Caenorhabditis elegans: one gene and its partners. The protein of the gene in region 2 binds, or shares a complex with, the protein of the main gene of each other region. Each region holds a gene or a part of one and is shown on either strand. Other genes may lie near its edges.

Region 1 (6,116 bases), 8.0 Mb from region 2:
ACAGAATGTAAGGATAACGATAATTTTATCGAATAACCTTGATTTAAAACGCAATATTTCAGAAAAGAAGAACAAAGAGTCATTAGAACACCGAAAGTAGATGAACAAGAACTCAAATTGGTCCGTGCGTAAGTTTTATTCGTACGAATATGTGTCCAGACAATAATAATTCATAATTTCAGTCCAAAAATCTCATCCGCTATGTTTATGAAATACAATACACAGCTGGGTCCACCATTTCACGTTATTGTCGATACCAATTTTGTGAATTTCGCCGTCAAAAATCGCATTGACATGTTTCAAGGATTCATGGATTGTCTGTTCGCGAAAAGTGAGTCATACACTTTCTTTCGTTTTCTTGTATTTTATCACAATAATTCAGCTATTGTGTACGCAACTGACTGTGTATTGGCTGAATTGGAAAAAGTGAGAAGATTCAAAATTGCTCTGAAAGTTCTGAAAGATCCACGTGTGCAGAGACTGAAGTGTGAGCACAAAGGAACATATGCTGATGATTGTTTGGTTCAAAGAGTTACACAGGTTCGTTTATTCATAATTTTTCATTGTTTTTCATTTAATAAAATCTAACAAATCTTAAACGAATAAAATCTATTATGACGAGAAGAGGCAGGAGACGGAATGTGGTATTGCTGCAGTCTTTTTGTTTGGCAAACTTGAACAAATAACGAATCTGAAAATGAAAAAAATAATATAATTTTCAGCATAAATGCTATATTGTGGCCACTTGTGATCGTGATCTGAAGCGCCGCATCCGAAAGATCCCAGGAGTTCCGATCATGTACATTGTCAATCACAGATTCTCCATTGAGCGAATGCCTGATGCATATGGAGCTCCAATGAACTAACCTTTTGATGCTTCACGCGTACAATCCTAATCGATACACCTTGGTGGCGAGAAATGAATGAAGAATGAACACGACTGGCTTTGCGGAATTTAGCAAATCCAATTCCTAAATTTTTCATTCATTTATGCTTCTTTTGTTTTGAATATTACTTGTTGATCTGCTTTTATTGTTTTGTTGCCTATCCTTTTTTTTATTCAAAAACTTTACACAAAAAAAATCCGTTTTTTTTCTATAAGTATGAAATTAAGGTTAAAATAAAATCCATTTTTACCTGTTCACCATGTGGTGGTCCAAAATCGACCCAGAGAAAACGACCACCATCATCGCCGGTGGCGCGAATCGTTTCAAACGAATGTTGCCACAGTACCTGAATTGTAAGCTTTAAGAAAATGTAGCTTCTCTAAATGTTATAAATCTTTGTTTTAATCTAGAAAACGTTTATCACTTTCTTATTGCTAAATTATTCCAATGAGCTCACCTCTCCAGTCGACGAAAGTAATGATATTCCATTGTCTAGATTAACTATTAGTTCGCATGATTCGCCTCGCCAAAGACAAGGAGCAGAGACTTGAGATGTAGAAAGACATGCTTCATATCCACCGATCACTACTGCACGAACCCATCGTGCCAGTTCTGCATGAGTTTCTACCCGGATCGTATGTGTCCGAACACCTTGTTGAGTTCCAGTTCTCATACGGAAAGAGATCACATCAGTGAGACCTTTAATTACTGGCGCAGTTCGAGAACTTGTCTGAACGACTCTTGTTGCCACCAGAGGACGTACTAGTCTTGGCTCTGCCCATTCTGCTTTCAGCTGTGGAACAGCTTCATAGAACAAGATCTCACTATTCGTAAGCGTCATAAATTTAGGTTTCCACATTGAAATTCCATTTTCTGATACTTGTTCTGCAATCCAACCCATATGTCTCACTTGGGGGTTGTTACCGAGCATTATATTGACTTGAGCCAGTGCCTGAGTCAGAAGACACGTGGTACAGGCATGTAAAGCTTCAAACCATCCATCTGCTTCTTCACTACTTGAACATCTCATTGCTAGGGAATACCTTCCTGATGGACTTCTCATTTCTAGAATTCTACCTTCTGCATCTGCATCTATTCCAGCTCTTGCCACATATGCAAGCTTTAAACCAATTGTTCTAACTCGTTCCCGAATATCATCATCCCATTCAACATTTTCCACAATATTTTCCCGATGCATCATATCCTCTCTTCTATACTGTACTTGCAAGTCAACAACCCGTCCAGCTCGTTTCAATGCTCTTACAGCTTCTTCGTGTGAAGCATCGAGAAGGTTTTCTCCATTCACAGAGATAATGACGTCATCAAGAAATAGTTCTCCAGCCTGATCCGCTGCCATTCCTTTGAAGATTTTGCTACAATCGAAATTAATTTTGTTCTTTAATTGCTAAATTAAACATTCTATTTCAGAAAAAAAAGTGTCGATTTACGTATCGTGTGTACTGCCCGAGGAGAAGTGTACATTTTTGCAAACAATTTCACAGTTATCGCCTTAAATTCCTAATTTTGGATAATTCGGGAAATACTTTCTGTTTTTGACCGAAAACTGTAAAATCTTCTGAAAAAATTAAATGCTTCTCCACGGGGAGTACACACGCTGAGTAAATCGACACACGATTGTGTACGAGGTTTGCTAGTCCATTCTTCCATTTTTCAGTTATTATAAAAATTTTCTCTAGAGAATTGCCCTTGTCATTAAAACTAAAAATTATTTATCATAGATCAAAATTTCAAAATTGACGTAAAATCACGAAATGGCACACGAGATGTATAAATCTCCGCAAGTTCATTCATACCTGATCACAATAGGCATGTTGTTGTCTCTGCCTCCCTTAATTGAAATTCCTAATCCATTTCCATCATATTTCACAACTCGAACTGTCCGTTTCTCTGCTTCAGCCTCATTCTGCTCCATTGTCTGAAAAATAGTATATTTATTCATCACAGCTTGAACCCATTTCTCTTTGGATTTCACTTCCCTTGCTCATAAATATCCCCTTCCACGTTTCCCGACCAAATTTTAAACAATTTCAAACAAATTCACACATGCTAATGTAATTTTTGGAGGAGACTGAGTAAAATGAAATCATGCAAGCTGGCATACCAATTTGTCAAAAGCCGGAGCTTCGATTGACGGAATACTTGGAGAAGGGGGAGTAGATGACATGACGACTTCTTTTTTGACAAGCAATGGTATATTTTCTTTGTCTTTTCCCAAAATTTCAGTTGGACTGTCATACCAGAGATGAGAAAGATAAGAAAGCAAAAGAGTTATACACATTTTAATACTTGAGAATATATGTCGGAACGAAGAGTTCATATAGACTCCAAGAAGATAATTATTGTAGTCACAGTATACCTTTCTCCATCCGTTTTCTCCTTTTAAGTCGTATCATATACAAACTTCATCTCTAAGTAGCCTCATTCCATTCTTTCTTTTTTCTTCTAGCAAGAACGACTAATAAGTTTTCATAGCCAACTCGCCTCCTTTTTTGAAAAATGAGCCAAAATGTGGCGAAAGGAAAAGAAGAAGAAGAAGCATAGACTATTTGTAATATGATCCCATTCCCGTTTCTGGTTTCCATAGATGGATCTCTTCAGATGATATATTTCGTTCGTGGGCATCAGAAAACTTATGTTCGACGTAATTTCGTAAAAAAATAAATGTTTTATGACGCCAGAATACGGTGCCTGGTCTCGACACGACTGAAAACTTACAAAAAGATTAAAGGATTAAAGGTGTGAAAAATGTGTGTGCGCCTTTAAAACCTACAGTAATCTCCAGACCCAATCTCCAGCAGCTGCTTTTTCTAAAACGAAACAGTCTGCGAAATAGTGAGGATTAGAGCCTACTGTACTTCATAAAGGCGCACATTCTTTTCCGACAAATTTATTTATAACTGCTCGATACGAGGTTCTGGCTCGACCCCGCGCTCCATCGGACGCTGAAATGGCGGGAAAATTTTTTTGAAATCGCAAGAGGAATTTTCACGCAGCGCGTTGAAAAAGTGTATGCATTTGCGCGTGACGGTGTTTGCACAAAATACACCGAGGGGTCGAGCCAGAAACCCGTGCTCGATCGTGTTGAGACACGGTACCGTATTCTTTTGTCTTGAATAGCAAAATTTCGCATTTTGGTATTAATAAGAACGACCACTATTTTTCAGCAACTTGTATCATTCCACATTAGAAAAATGAATGATATTTTATTATACCGAAATTTAAATTATTTAACAATAATTGTTTCAAATATAGATTTTTGTTCGTTTTTAGAAACCATCCAATTTATTTTTAGAATTTCGCGAAAAATGAGTTGTTTTACAATAATTTCCAGTGGTTTTCTAGTTTTCGGAATATTTTATCATTAAAAAATTACTTGTAATGTGATAGCAGTTGGATCGAGAGTAGCCAATACACGATGCCATTGTCCCTGAACAAAAATGTCGACCAGGCCGGATCGAACGGCGGCCATCGAAACGACGCCGATCTAATCGGAGCAATACTACGAAATTGAGCCGATTGTACTCTGTAAAGTTGAATATTGCATATACCAATTTATGCCAAAAATTTGAATTCAAATTCGGGAGGATTTGTAGCGGAATGAAGGAAAGCGAGAAAAAAAACCAGAAGAGAAAGATGCTAAGAAGCAAAGAAACAGAAAGAAAAGGGGCAATAATAGAATATTTGGGCTGTGGGAGCAGCAGAGGAGTCCTCTCTCTTCTATTTCCCCTCGTTTTTCTTCTTCTCTCAACTGCTCTCTTCTCCGTCGGATGAAGCCGGAGAGCTAGTGCGACGGCACTCCTGCTCCCTCTTCTGCCTAACATGCTCTCTGATGAACTCTACCGCGCACTCCGAGTCTCGCTTCTTTCTCTACATCTCACTCTTTCTTTTTCCATCTGACTCTCAGCTTGGTGCCTCGAATTTATATCGGTTATGATTGTGTGTTGGGCGAAGAATCCCGTTGGCTTCCCGCCACGAGACGAACACTTACACACTACGTGACGAACACATGCAATTGTATTGTTGAAGAGAGAAGAAGCAAGTTGATCCTTTATTCTTTTCTTTATTTTCTTTCTCATTTGGTTGTAGTTGTAGTTTTCTGTGTCGTACGATATATTACAACCAATTGCAATTACTACATTAATCAGAAGTATTCCCTTTTACAACTTTTTTTATACAGTGAAAGTTAAATATTATCCAATTTAATTCCTATTTTCGAAATAAATTGAAATTACTATTAGGTGTTCTGTTTTTCGTGATGAAATTTAATTTTCAATTGCTGCTCTAGATACTTTAGCTCTCTAACTACAGTACCCCAGCAGAAATGCAATCTTTAAAAATCTATAGAAAATCCATCTGAAAATCCATCAATGTTTTTTCTTCCAAAAGCTATTCTATTCTGTGTCAAACAATTCTGAAAAACTTGAGAAAAAATTGAATAATTTTAGAATCTTGTTCCTTGATCTTTCTTCAAACATTTAGATCATTGACCGTATCTGATTTCTTTTTCCCTCCCTCCCCTCCACCAGTTATTGTTTCTCAATTTTTTGACGTTGAGCTTTGTTGTGTATTGAGCGAGAGACAAGGAGAGAAGTAGTTTATTACAAGAAAGTGTAAGAAGTAATGAATTATAAAGAGAGGTCGCTTACGCGATAAGTTCATGATGACCCAAAGGTCACGTCTGTATAAAGTTCAGGTTTACGTTCCGTCCACAACATCTCCCCTCTTATATGACAAAAAGCCAGAAATTATGCCTGGGCTAGGGGCATCACGACCAGAGGCGGTATATCGACCTCTGCGGCGAGTGGAGGCATGATCAGTGTTTGGGGCTGATCCTCGCACAACTTGTCGTGGGTGACTCTGTCGAAGAGAATGACACAGGAGGATGCCGGGTTGGAAACGCTCGCCGTCACTCGCAACATCGGATTCCAGCAGGGGGTCCAGATGGGTTTCTTTGATTGGCGAACTTCCAGAAGTATATGATTGGCGACTCTTTGCCACACGGCGACGTCTTCTGTGGCTTTTCTTCAACGAACTCTTGCTCTCCGTAACATGAATCGTAGTTATATTTGCACAAGTAGCATTTCGAGCATTGCCGGCAACCGACGAGACGACTTCACGAGCAGATCGAGAACCAACAGAATCACAAGCTGACAAATCTGGAGCACTAAAACCAAAAACAGAAGAATCTGAAACTAAAACTGGATTAGC
Region 2 (8,005 bases):
GTCATCATTTTAGCAGTTTTTTGTGTAAAATTCGTGTAGATCACGGGTAGATCACACAATTTATCTCTTATTTCGTATTTCTGTTTTTTTTTTTTTTTTTTTTTCATTTTGATCTACATCAGGGGTGGGCGGCAAACGATTTTTCCCGGCAATCGGCAAACCGGCAAATTGCCGGAATCGAAAACTTCCGGCAAATCGGCATACCAGCAGTTTGCCGATTTGCCGAATTTGTCGACAAATTAATTTGTCGCCCACCCCTGATCTACACGAATTTTAAACAAAAAAAAACATTCCGCATAAAACCGCCTCCTTTTAAAATTGTGAAAGTGGAGAAACAAACACACGTTAAGCCAAAATTTCTTTCATTTCGTGGCCTAGAAAATCCAAAAACTTAGGCCACTAATTTTCTCTTCCTCATCCACTTCGTAATATCCCTGTGTATAATGCGTATACTTTTACACCTCATTGAGTTGAGACGGATGGGGTGAGGGGTCCCAATGTTTCAGTGGGGGCCCCCTATCTCTTTTTCTCTGCACTCTCTCTCTCTCTCTCTCTCTCTCTCTCTCTCTCTCTCTCCATCTTTCTCCGTATGCTCACATTCATCCCACCGCTGCTCTCTGAGCCAATACGTCTCCCCCCCCCCCCTCCTCTCCTTTTGCACATCGATCCGTCTTGTGTCTCTCTTTCTCTAATACTCTCTATTTCTCTAAGTCTCTCTCTCTCACTCACGTTTGCCTAAATTCACTTTCTCCAGTGTTCCCTTGAGTGCTCCGAGAGCAAAAGCGTATACCACGAATTAATTTTTAATTCGTGTATTTTTGGCTCGATTTTCCCTTTTTTTTCAACATTTTTCTAAAAATTATTGCTGCAATCGCGCTTTAATGGCAATATTACCTGAAAATTCGTATGTTGTTGCAATGCAATCGCGCTCTATTGGACAAATTTTTAATCCGAATTTTGAAGTTTTCTTTAGTGGAAATCTCTATTGAAATTTTTTTATAAATTGTTTATACAAACACGCTCTAATGATAAAAAGGCTTTAAATTGTGTACTCCGCGTGGAAAAAAGCAAGTTTTTTGTTGTATTTTTTGAAAATATTTTTTTTAAAGAACTTTTTTTGAATACTCTGTGTAGTTCTCGTGGACAAGTTTGGGCCTATTTCGCTTAAAAACCTGAAACACGCGAAATTCCAGTTTCGGGGGATTTCAACTACCCGATTAGAAAAAAAACTTTTTTCACAAATTCAATTTCTGCCGAATCAAAATTCTCCGGAATTCAAGTTTCCGCGAATTTCAACCTAAAAAAATTTTAGCTCAAAAACCGTAAGGTAGTTGAAATCCACGGAAACGAAAATTCCGGCGAATCAAGTTTCCGTGGATTTCAACGCTTATTGAACAAATTTCTACAAAACGCCCCCGGGAGTTCAAATCCGCGGAATCGAAATTCCCTGGGATTTTGATTTACCGGGATTCAAGTGGTGTCAATGGGAGAGGAAATGCATTTTCTCTTACGCGCGTGGTGTCAGAGTGTCTCATTTCGGTTTGATCTACGTAGATCTACAAAAAATGAGGGAAAAGAAGAGACGCAGAGTTCTCAACTGATTTCTCATTCCCGCATTTTTTGTAGATCAAGCCGTAATGGGACAACCTGATACCACGTGACCGTTATTATTTTTCTCTCAATCCTGAGATTTAAAATCCCGCGGAGTCGAAATTCCCCAAAAATATTTTTTGTACTCCTCGTGGACAACCTCGTTGGTTCCCTGAAACATATTGGCTTAGTAATGTGCCAAGCAAATCAGCGCGCATACATGCAAAACCCATTAGGCTCCCCCCAAATGTCTTCTCTCCCAGAGTTAGACTCCGCCCACTAGGAGCCAGAGCTCCCCCAATTTTCTTTGTTTTAAACCCTACCACTTTTTAGCTCTGGCCAGCCATTTTGTGGGTGGAGTTTTGGTTTAAATTTTTTTAAAATTGATTTAAAATTTAAATTTTAAATTTCAGACACTCTGGGTTTTTCTCCTGAAATGTTGTGGTCAAATGGTGGAGGAGGACCACGTGAGCCGAGCAGTGCACCATCACCAGACCATCATCGTGCAATGCATTCTGTACCACCAATTGTGGCATCTGAAATGCAACAATTGATTGATGAAATGCGTGGGTGTTCAATTTTGCGGGAAAATTGGCTAAAAAACGCTAAAAAATTCCCGCGTTTTTGATTCTCCGGAATTTTAACTTCTATGGGATTATTTTTCGGTGGATTCGAATTTTCGGAAATTTTCAATAAATCTTTTTTCATTAGAGATTTTCAAAGAAAAAGTAGAAAAAATACCTAACTATGTAAAAAAAATTAACGGAAAATCTCCACGTTTCTAAGTCTTCGGAATTTAGATTTCCCTGGAATTAAGTACTCGGTGGATTTGAATTTACGGGATTTTTTTTCTTTAAAATTTTTTTCAAATTTATGTTCAAGTTAGCACAGCAAAAAAATTTTTTTTTTAATTCACGTTTTTGAATCTACGGAATCCAATTTCCCTGGAATTTCGCTTCCGCGTATTTGGATTTCTGAGTTTTTAAATATAAATTTTTGCAGAAAATGTGAAAATTACGTGGAAACTCAAAATTCGCCGAAAAAGGACAAAAAATCTCGAGTTTCCAATTTAGCGGAATAAAAATTCCCGGGAATTTTGTTTCCGTGGATATTAACTACCCAAATTTTTTACCATTTTTCTCAATTCCAATTTCAATTTTTTCATGGAAAAATTGGTTAAAAAACGCAAAAAATTCCCGCGTTTTTGATTCTCCGGAATTTTATTTTCTCTGGGATTTTTTTTCGGTGGATTTGAATTTTCGGAAATTTTCAAAGAAAAAGTAGAAAAAATACCTTATTATGTAAAAAATTAACGGAAAAATTTCCACGTTTCTAAGTCGTCGGAATTTAGAGTTCCCTGGAATTAAGTACTCTGTGGATTTGAATTTACTGGATTTTTTAAAACAAAATTTATACGAAATGCTCAAAGTTGATACACTCTCCAAAATGTTCATGAAATTTACAAGTTAACACAACAAAAAATGTCAAAAAACTCCGCGTTTTCAAATCCCCCATTATCGAAATTTCACGGGAATCCAGATTCCAGGGAATTTGGCATTCGGGGAATAAAATTTTCGGATTTTTTTCTATGAAAATTAGTCAGGGTCTGGATAAAATAACAAACGAGTGGAAGCAAAAATTTCGCCGCAAAAAGAACAAAAAACTCGAGTTTCCAATTCCGCGGCATAAAAATCCCGTGAATTTTGTTTCCGCGGATATCAACTACCCGACTTTTTTAAAAACATTTTTTCTCAATGCTCAATGTTGTCGAAAAAACACGGAAATACCTTCAAAAAAAATCCAAAAAAAAAACCCTAAAAATTCCGGTATCCAATTCTACAGAATCGAAAATTCCCTAAGAATTTTGTGGATATCAACTACCCGAGTTTTTTTTTGAAAATTCATGAATTTTTCCGCTACTCCTCTTGAGAAAGGGAAGCTTATAAATAATTCTTCTTTGCGAAAAAGTGCAAAAAAATTATTGGCTTTCATTGGTTAATGCCCAAAGTTCAGAAAAAAAGTTGAATCATCAATAGAGCGCATTTTCAGGTCTCCAAGATTTCGACTCCATCAGATTTGCCACGTATCGAGCCGCCTGTAAACTGCGATTTATTCAACAAAAGACGAAAGTTCATTTGGTAGATATTTGGAATATGATTGAAGCTTTTCGAGAAAACGGACTCAATGCATTACCCCTACATACTGTGGTATGTTGCAAGTGTGCTCTATTGAGAATGTGGGGGAAATTTTCAGATCAAAACGTCACGCGCCGAGCTTCTGCTAACTACAGTATTCCACAATTTGAATAAAAGACTTGTAGCGTCACAACATGTGGACACGGATGTATCGATTTCTTTGCTACTCGCGTTTTTGTTAGGTGCTTATGATAAGTGAGTTTTGGACTCCTCTCGGACAAAAAACTCACGCTTCTGAATCCCCGGAACCCAGATTCCCCAGGAATTTAGATTCGGCAAATTCGAAATTCTAAGAATTTTTTCTTGTGTTACTGCGTGAAAACTGTGTATTTAGAATTCCAATTTTTACTGCAAAAAATAACGAAAAATATTCGGGTTTTCGTGTCTCCAGAATCTAGATTCCCTAAGAATTTTGATTCCGCGTATTGGAATCTACGGGATTCAATCTACACATGTTCTGTAAATAACAGAAATTTTGGTAATATATGAAAAAATTTAAAATCCTAAAACTGAAAGAAAATTTCCGGTTTTCGGATCCGCGGAATTTCACATTCCACCGGAATTTGGTTCCCACAGATTTCAACTATCCGAAATTTTTTCTGTTTTTTTTTGTTTTCAGCATAATGTTTTGATTTTTCAAAAATGAAAATTGACTGAAAGAGCAGAAAAAATCTCAGGGTTTCATATCTCTGGAATTAAAATTTCCCAGTGAATTTTTATTCATATAAGGACACTTTGCAAAAAAATTTTTTTTTGATAAAGTCACGGATTTCTGGCTTCCCTCATAAATTGAAATGGAAGAGTTTTTGCCGAACTAGGCCAGTAGATTTACGGCGCGTTGCGTGTCGCGTCGCGGCTCGATTTTAGTTGTAAAACTAAATGTATTTGTCCGTGTGGAGTACACGACTTTCCCGTCCGGCAGGCGATTATCAATGGAGCGCGAAAAATTCAATGAGGAAGGCCAAAACCCCGTGCGCAGTTAGGCTGTAATTCTCACAACGACACTCCGATATTCCGCTACCTAGAAGTGACGTCACACGCTTCAAAAGCCAATTTTTCAGACAAAATACCGGACGTTTGACGGTTTTTTCAATAAAAGTCGCGTTGGCAACACTCTGCGCTGGAAAATTGGTGGACAAGCTGAGATGTGAGTTGCGCTTGCGAATTTCAAAAAAAAATCTGAAATTTCAGACATTTTCTCTCAAATCGCTGATTCGAATGGATTAATGGATCATATTAAATTTACTGATTTTTTGCAACAAATCCTCTCCCTAACCACTGCAGTTTTCGAAGCACCGACGTTTGGATTTTCCGAAAACGCGGTTAATCAGTGCTTTCATAAGGATGAGAAAGTATCTTTGAATGTGTTTCTGGACACTTTTTTGAGGTAGATATCAATTTTGGAAATAAATAAAAAAATAGATTTTAGAAAAAGTTTTGAAAAAGTTTTGAAAAAATTAACCTTTTACACAAAACTACGTTAGCATGTGGTGCCAGGTTGTCCAATTACGGTTTGATCTACAAAAAATGCGGGAATTTTTTCGCCCAAAAAATGTGACGTCAGCACGTTCTTAATCATGTGAAATCAGTTGAGAACTCTACGTCTCTTCTCCCGCATTTTTTGTAGATCTACGTAGATCACGCCGAAATGAGACACTCTGACACCACGCGCGAAAGAGAAAATGCATTTCCTCTCCCATCGGGGGGAAAACCAGTCCCTCAACTCACCCAGAATAATAATTTAGGTGTCTTGGAAGTTCTGAAACACCTAACATTTTGAAAAATTAGAAAAAATAATAGACGTAGGGCTGAAGTCCTCCCGCGGCCACGTAAGGCATCCCCGTGGCCTAGGATTTTCAGAGCGGTGTAACTTTTGAAAAACTGTAAAAATTTTTTTTTAATTCTGCAATAATTGTATCTATAACTTATTCAATGAAACCAAATCAAAAAATCGAATTTTTCTTTTCATGGGGTCACGGGTCCCCACGCCGCCACCGAAGTCCTCGCCGTGGCCTAGAAACTTTCAAACAGTGCATCCCTAAAGCCACTGCGCCGATTTTCTTGAAACTTTATCAGAACACTTTATATAACAATTTCTATCAAATTATCAAATAAAATCGAATTTTAGTTGTCATGGGGTCACGGGTCCCCCCCCCCCCCCCACGGGGTGACCGAAGTTCTCACCGTGGCCTAGAATCTTCAAAATGGTGTAACTCTATAGCCACTGCGTTAATTTTCTTGAAAATTTATCAACCAACACTTTGAAACCTGTTCTGTCAAATTATCAAAAAATCATACAAAATTAATATTCCAGCGATCCATGTCCCCCATGCATAATGTGGCTCCCCTTGCTACATCGAATGGCGTCTGTGAGCAACGTGTACCATCCGGTGGTGTGTGATGCGTGTCAAGTCAGAAGTTTCACAGGATTTCGGTATAAATGTCAGCGATGCGCCAATTATCAGTTGTGTCAAAGCTGTTTTTGGCGGGGAAGGACGAGTCAAAATCATTCAAATGAGCACGAGATGAAAGAATATTCCAGCTATGTGAGTTTTTTGAAAAATCGATTTTCCACGTGGAGTACACGAAAATGTATCTATAAAGCGCGCGATAAAATTATTGATTTTCCGCCGGCGATGAAGAATCGATAAAATTATTGATTTTCCGCCGGCAATCAAAAAAATCGATAAAGTTATCGATTTTCATTCGACAAAAACGATTAGTTAACAGAGAAATTATCAATTGCTGGACAACAAACAATCAATAAAAATGTAGATTTTCCGCCGGCAATCAAAAATCGATGAAATTATTGATTTTCCGCCGGGCAAAAAAAAAATCGATAAAATTATGGAAAAAAGCGTTCTCAACTCCAAAATCAATAAATCAATAACTTAGTAATTTCAGAAATCGCCGACAAAACAGCTCGTACACTCAATTCACAAAAGTCTCCAATGTATTCCTGCCACGTCAACCGTCGGCGATGCAAACATCGATATTTTTAACGCAAAAATCGGTGGCCCGGTCAGCAGCAAACCTGCTCGACCGCTAAACCTGAACAACATCGTCCCGGCGACACCGACGACGATCCGCCGGCAACACGCTGCCACGTCATCAGCGGACTGGCCGACGTCACCGGTACTTCTGCCGGGACAGGCGTCGCATGGAGGAGTTATTGATGATGAGCATAAGCTTATTGCGAGATATGCAGCAAAGTTGTCGGGAAGGGCTGATGTGAGTTTTTAATCGAAAAAAATCAGGAAAAAATCAATAAAAATCTTGATTTCCCGCCGGCAATAAAAATCGATAAAAATCTTGATTTTCCGCCGGCAATAAAAAAAATCGATAAACATCTTGATTTTCCGACGGCAAACAAAAAAAATCAATAAAATTATTGATTTTCCGCCGGCGATAAAATTCGATTAAATTATTGATTTTCCGCCGGCAATCAAAAAAATCGATAAAATTATTGATTTTCCGCCGGCGGCAGAAAGTCAAATTATTGATTTAATAAAATTTGATCGATTATCGATTTTTCTTTTTAAAAATCAATAAATTGCAGTATCCCCTATCAAACGGTCGAAGTATGAATAGTTCAATGGTCGGAGACGAACGGACCCTTATTGCTCAACTGGAAGAAGAAAATTCAATGATGGTACGGGAAATGGCTCGACTGGAGAGCCAAACAACTTCCGATGACGGGCTCGCCGGGCTCCGCGACCGGAAAATGGAATTGGAAGAGAAAATGTTTGAAATGCAACAGAGGAGGAGAGAATTAATGATGCAATTGGAGCATTTAATGGCTCAGTTGAATGTAGGTCATACCTACTGTGGCTAACGCGCTCTATAGATAAACAATGTAAAAATCGATAATTTTGCAGAATTCAAAAACAATCGTTATATTTTCCTCCAAATTTAGAAAAAATACTTGATAATTTTCAAAAAATTCGAAAAATCGATAATTTTTATATTTTAAGAAAACAAAGTTTTTGGAGTTTTTGATTTTCCGCCGGAGATAAAATCGATAAAATTATTGATTTTCCGCCGGCGATAAAAACCGATAAAATGTGTAAACCTGTCGATTTTTTAAGCTTCAGTAAAAATCAAAAATTCAATATCGGCTTTTCTGAAAAATTCAACCTTCAAAAAATCAATAAAATTAAATTATCGATTTTTTGATTTCAAAACAACAAAAACCTTTTCCAGACGGGACCCCAACCATC
Region 3 (4,754 bases), about 10 Mb from region 2:
AACCCAATTCTCAAATGTCCCCTCTAAAATTTTGATAGTAGAGCTCGCGGAGCACATCAGCAAAAGTAGCAGCTCCCAGGAAATGTCCGAATCATCATCAAATGCCGTTGGGGTATGTCCAAGAGGATGGTGCATTGTAACAATTGACTGACGACGGCAGCTGACGGATTGAGGGGTCCCCTCGTGCACACACGGGAATGCTCCGGGAGCACACACACACACTTTTCCATTACTATTTCCTACGAGAGTGTGGTAGACGTGCCGTTATTATTTTTTTGTGTTTTTGAGGTTAAAAATTGCTTCCAAGTCTGTTAAAAATATATTTGATGGCCTAGTTTTTGTTTTCTAGGCAGCCGAACTTGAATTTAAAAGCTTGACATTTTTGGTATGGTGGCTTAGAATTTCGAAAATTCAAGTTGCTTTCTTTTAACTTAAAATTAAAACATTTTTTGCGAATTTGAATTAGATGGCCTAGGATTTTCTGGAATGTTTAATTGAAAGATTTGGTTAGGCCACACAATTTCAGTTGCTGGCCTAGTTTTGATGTTCTAGGCCACCAATTTTTCTTTCAACTTTTCCGATGAATTTCACACACGTTCCAAACTTTCAGTAGTCACACTCATATTTTGCCTCATCTTTTTCATGGCCTAACTTTTCGATTTCGTGGCCTAGAACTTTGTCCATGAAAAAGTTTAGGCCACATGCTTTTTTTAAAAATATATCCCTTTTTATTGAAATGATTTTAAAAAAGTTTTTGTTAGACCCAAGATGATTGAGCCAAATTAGAGAAATTTGAAGTTGGTGGCCTAGAAAATTTCTAGACTATCAACTTCACAAGGCTCTAACTTGGCTGAAAATTATCATTTTCAGTTTTTTCAAGCCATATTTTTTGTTGAATTTTTGTATTTTCCTTCAAAATTTTTATTTTGAAAAAATCAATAATTAGAGATATCAAATGCATATTCCGATTGTTTCGCACAAATCTCATAGTCATTTGCACAACGAAAAGGAATTTGCGCAAATTCCGTCAAATCATGCTCCAAATTGTGCTCTTTTTCTGCTCCAAAACTGTGATCCATCCAATCGGATAAAATGCTTCTGTCCGACCCGTCGTTCGCACAATGCGTCCAAATTGTCTTCGCAGAACTGGCTTCGGTGGCCTAGAAATTCAAATTTTCTTGTGTTGCTGGCCTAGGATTGGTTCTCTAGGCCACTAAAATCAGCTTGATTTTTTTTTAAATGTTGATGTGTCACGTTAAATTTAACATGAATAGAGCTTCACCCATTTTGGTTTTTTTTTCGTTGGTGGCCTATGTTTTTCTAGGCCACCAACTTTAAATTTTAAATCAATATATTGTCAAATTAAAGGGTTTACTCACAATTAGCTCTTCACAAAAATCTACTTGAAAAACTCGAATTGGTCGCCTAGAAAACTAAAACTAGGCCACCAATATTTCGTTTTTAAATTTTTCTTCAAATTTTCTAAATTTTTTGAAATTAGAAAAACTAAAATAGAAAAACTTACACTTTTGTCACTGTTACTCATTTTTAGCAATATTTTTTTCTTTGAATTCTTTGAATTTTTTTTTAGAAATAAAAAATTTTCCAGAAAATTTCGTTCTTTTTTCGTAACTTTTATTTTTTGGAAAACTTCTAGAATAACCCCACGTTTTTTAAAAATAATTTTATATTCTACAACTTAATTTTTTTTTCTAATAAAAATCCCAATTTCAGATGCCAATTGGTGTATAGAATAGGCGAAAACGAACGAAAAAGTGCAACAACACCATGTTATTCTCGGGCGCCTCGACTGCGAAACCGAAAAAAGACGAGAAAAAGGACAAGAAAAGTGATCGCGGTGAGTTTTTTGAAAAATTTTTAAGACAAAAAAAAAAAGAAAAATCCCCGAAAAATGGCATAGAAATTTACCTTTTTTGATTTTCCAGGCCACCAACATAGTTTTCAGCATACATTTATTTTATATTTGTTTCTGTCTTACCGAGACCTTCAATTTGACAGCCATCATGCCTAGGATCCGACTATTTTGAGTTGGTGGCCTAACTTTTCAAGCCGTGACCGAGAAAATGCATTTGGGCCTGGACTTTAGACGCTCAGATTTTTGAAATGTTCTTAGTTTTTATTCCTTGTTAGGAGTATTCAAAAATTCAAAAATTGAATTTCAAATAGGTTCTGGGAGTTTTAAGTTGTTGGTGGCCGAGGAATTTCTAGGCGACCAATTTTAAATTTTGCCAGTAAGATAAAATTTGTAGAATTTTAAAGTGAAACAGTAATATTGTGTGCTTCTTAAAATTTAATTTCATAAAATTTAGCAATTTCTAAAAAAGTAAAAATTCTAGGCCACCAACTGAAAAGTTAGGCCATGGAATAAAATTTCCAAAGTATGGCAATATTGGTGTCATGTGAAAGCTATGAACGTGCAGAAGTCAGTGAAAAGCATTGTAATAATGAAAAATTATTTTTGTGGCCTAGAAAAAGCAAACCTAGGCCAGCGAGTCAAATTGGGTGGCCTGAATTTGGATTTCTAGGCCACTAGTTAACAAATGCCATTTTTCTAGCAAACTTCTTGAAGAGAACTAACTGTTGCCACCAATACTCTGTTGAACATATTTTATGCTGATCTAGAAATTTTGCTGGCCTAGAAATCTAAAACTAGGCCACCAAACTGTAAATCTGCTCAAAATTCATATTTTTCGATTTTTCAAAAACCGATTTGTAGAGTTTTTGACGGAAAATTTGAATTTGAACGTTAAAAGCTATGAATAAAATTTTCAGACCCAAAAAATGAGCTCCAAGAGTGGGTATTCGTGCGCTGGGCCAATCACCTGCTCGGAACAGAACGTCTAACCGATTACAAAAGCCTTCAAGATGGTTCAAACGCGATTTTTGTCTACCAAGCAATTATTGGACAGACTATGGCTGTACTGGGTAATCCATCCGACGATTGGCCTAATGTTTTGCAAAATATCGGGGATTCCAAGACGAATCCGCAGGAAGTTATGGAAGGGCAGCAGAAAGCGGTGCTCTCAGCCTGGTGGCAGCTTGTTCAGTTTTTCTGGAAAAATAATGCACCCGTGCAGTTACGGGAGGAAAAGGTGAGTTTTTTGAGTGTAAAATCAAGTGGAAATCTTTAAAATTGATAAAGTTACGGGGGTTTGAAAAATTAAAAAATAAATAAAAAATTTTGAAAAAAAAAATTTCGAAAATTTTTTTTAAAATTTTTTTCCTAGAATTTTTTCTATTAAATTTTCAAATTTCAGCTCTCCGAAGCCATCAAACAATGGTGCATTGAAGTCATGAAATCATACGAAGAAATTGACGTCTACGACTTTACATCTTCCTTCCGGGACGGCCATGCCTTCAATTACCTCATACATTCTTATGAGTAAGGGTTTTTCATTAGAAATTAATTTATTGATAATCAGTTTTTCAAGAGTTTCTAGATTCCATGAAACATGGTTTTATTCGAAAAAAAATTCAAAAATTTCAAAAAAAAAACACATTTTTTTGGATTTTTTCAATTCTAAATTTTCCAAAACAACTTTTAATCTTATTTTTTTTTAATTCAATATCAAATTTAAATTCAACATTTCATTACAGTCTATTTGACACCCATAATGCCTAGGCTCCGAAATGTTCAAGCTGGTGGCCTAACTTTTCACTACATGGCCTAGAAAACTCACTGGGACTTCAAATTTGGAAAACATAGGCCCTGGAATTTAATATTTTAAAGTATAGCAATATGGGTGTCATTTGAAAGGTTTCGGCGTGTAGAACTCGAGAACCCCATCAAAAAGAATTTTAGAGAGGGTCTCGCCGCGAAAACTACAGTACCCATGTGATTTTCGTGGCGGGATTCAACTTTTTCCAAAACTAATCATGATTATACTCAAATGAAAGCTCTCAGTGCGACAAACACAGTTAATATAGTTTCGAGCCCGAAATCCTGAACATTTTCAGCCGAAAACTGATAAACCTCACAAAAACCGCCGAAATGAGTGCCATCGACAGGATTGAAAACGCTTTTGCTGTCGCTGAAAAGACATGGAATGTGCCAAGGCTTCTGAATCCAAAAGGTTACTATTTCTAACCAAAAAAAAAATCGAATTCTACGCTGAAAAACCACGAAAAAACTGTTTTGGGCAAAGTGGCTTAGTGGAGAATAGGTGCACAGCTACGGAAAAACATACCAGGGTTCGACCCCCCGCTGCGGTCAAAATTTTTGTTTCTCAATTTTGAAAGTTTTTGAAAATTTTTGAAATCATTCACTTTTTATTTTATTTGAAAATGAAGATTTTGAGCCGAGTTACAGCAGTTTTACGCCTAGGCACAAGATTGACTACCTGACTGCCTAGTAGGTTTTAAAAAACTGATAGGCAAGCGTGTAGGCAGGCAGGCAGTGATGAAGACTTTCCTTCCTACAAGAACTGTCAACACTGAATTATCTATTTTCCAGTAATTCACTTGAGTTAGAGCTTCAATGCGGTAAGTCAAAATGGGTTATAAGTAGGCGCGAAGGCAAGTAGGTAGGTATTACGGGACAATGAGATCATGAGAATGCCTACTTTTCTGGCGGCAAATATCTCGTAGCGAAGGGACCGGCGTCTCTCTTCGCCATATGCTCTCTCGCTGCCGCGGCCTGTCAATATTTTCGCGCCAGTAAATAGGCATTCATCTCATGGTCCCGTAATAGGTAGGTAGGCACAAGATAGGTACATAGGTAGGCATTCAAAAAA

Evidence for each region. The genes of interacting proteins can lie anywhere in the genome.
Region 1: dyb-1 (region 2) and stn-1 share a complex: the UniProt entries of both Caenorhabditis elegans proteins name them as parts of the dystrophin glycoprotein complex.
Region 3: dyb-1 (region 2) and dys-1 share a complex: the UniProt entries of both Caenorhabditis elegans proteins name them as parts of the dystrophin glycoprotein complex.

The regions. Positions count from the first base shown.
Region 1 is NC_003279.8:9,499,583-9,505,698, reverse strand, and holds stn-1 (Syntrophin-1), read right to left. Parts: upstream 4,432-6,116; 5' UTR 4,378-4,431; coding exon 4,282-4,377; intron 2,824-4,281; coding exon 2,702-2,823; intron 2,261-2,701; coding exon 1,345-2,260; intron 1,297-1,344; exon of another isoform or gene 1,234-1,296; coding exon 1,138-1,233; exon of another isoform or gene 972-1,137; coding exon 879-971; 3' UTR 868-878; exon of another isoform or gene 867-867; coding exon of another isoform or gene 723-866; intron 692-722; 3' UTR 541-691; downstream 1-540. Other genes in the region: F30A10.9 (PIN domain-containing protein), read left to right, coding at 1-7, 63-128, 183-331, 383-540, 723-866. UniProt on the Caenorhabditis elegans protein: Adapter protein that binds to and probably organizes the subcellular localization of a variety of membrane proteins. May link various receptors to the actin cytoskeleton and the dystrophin glycoprotein complex (DGC).
Region 2 is NC_003279.8:1,481,080-1,489,084, forward strand, and holds the start of dyb-1 (Dystrobrevin-1), read left to right. Parts: upstream 1-2,003; 5' UTR 2,004-2,026; coding exon 2,027-2,156; intron 2,157-3,639; coding exon 3,640-3,797; intron 3,798-3,843; coding exon 3,844-3,980; intron 3,981-4,774; exon of another isoform or gene 4,775-4,846; coding exon 4,847-4,932; intron 4,933-4,976; coding exon 4,977-5,172; intron 5,173-6,099; coding exon 6,100-6,331; intron 6,332-6,527; exon of another isoform or gene 6,528-6,548; intron 6,549-6,689; coding exon 6,690-7,016; intron 7,017-7,344; coding exon 7,345-7,596; intron 7,597-7,988; coding exon 7,989-8,005. UniProt on the Caenorhabditis elegans protein: Plays a role in cholinergic transmission and as a functional partner of dystrophin (dys-1), necessary for muscle maintenance. Required for localization of ctn-1 near dense bodies in muscle cells.
Region 3 is NC_003279.8:11,554,827-11,559,580, reverse strand, and holds the start of dys-1 (Dystrophin-1), read left to right. Parts: upstream 1-1,729; 5' UTR 1,730-1,788; coding exon 1,789-1,858; intron 1,859-2,793; coding exon 2,794-3,113; intron 3,114-3,278; coding exon 3,279-3,403; intron 3,404-3,978; coding exon 3,979-4,094; intron 4,095-4,754. Other genes in the region: F15D3.9 (SAM-dependent methyltransferase), read right to left, coding at 936-1,160, 1,526-1,546. UniProt on the Caenorhabditis elegans protein: Plays a role in cholinergic transmission and as a functional partner of dystrobrevin (dyb-1), necessary for muscle maintenance. Required for neuronal positioning. May play a role in the localization of slo-1 near dense bodies in the muscle.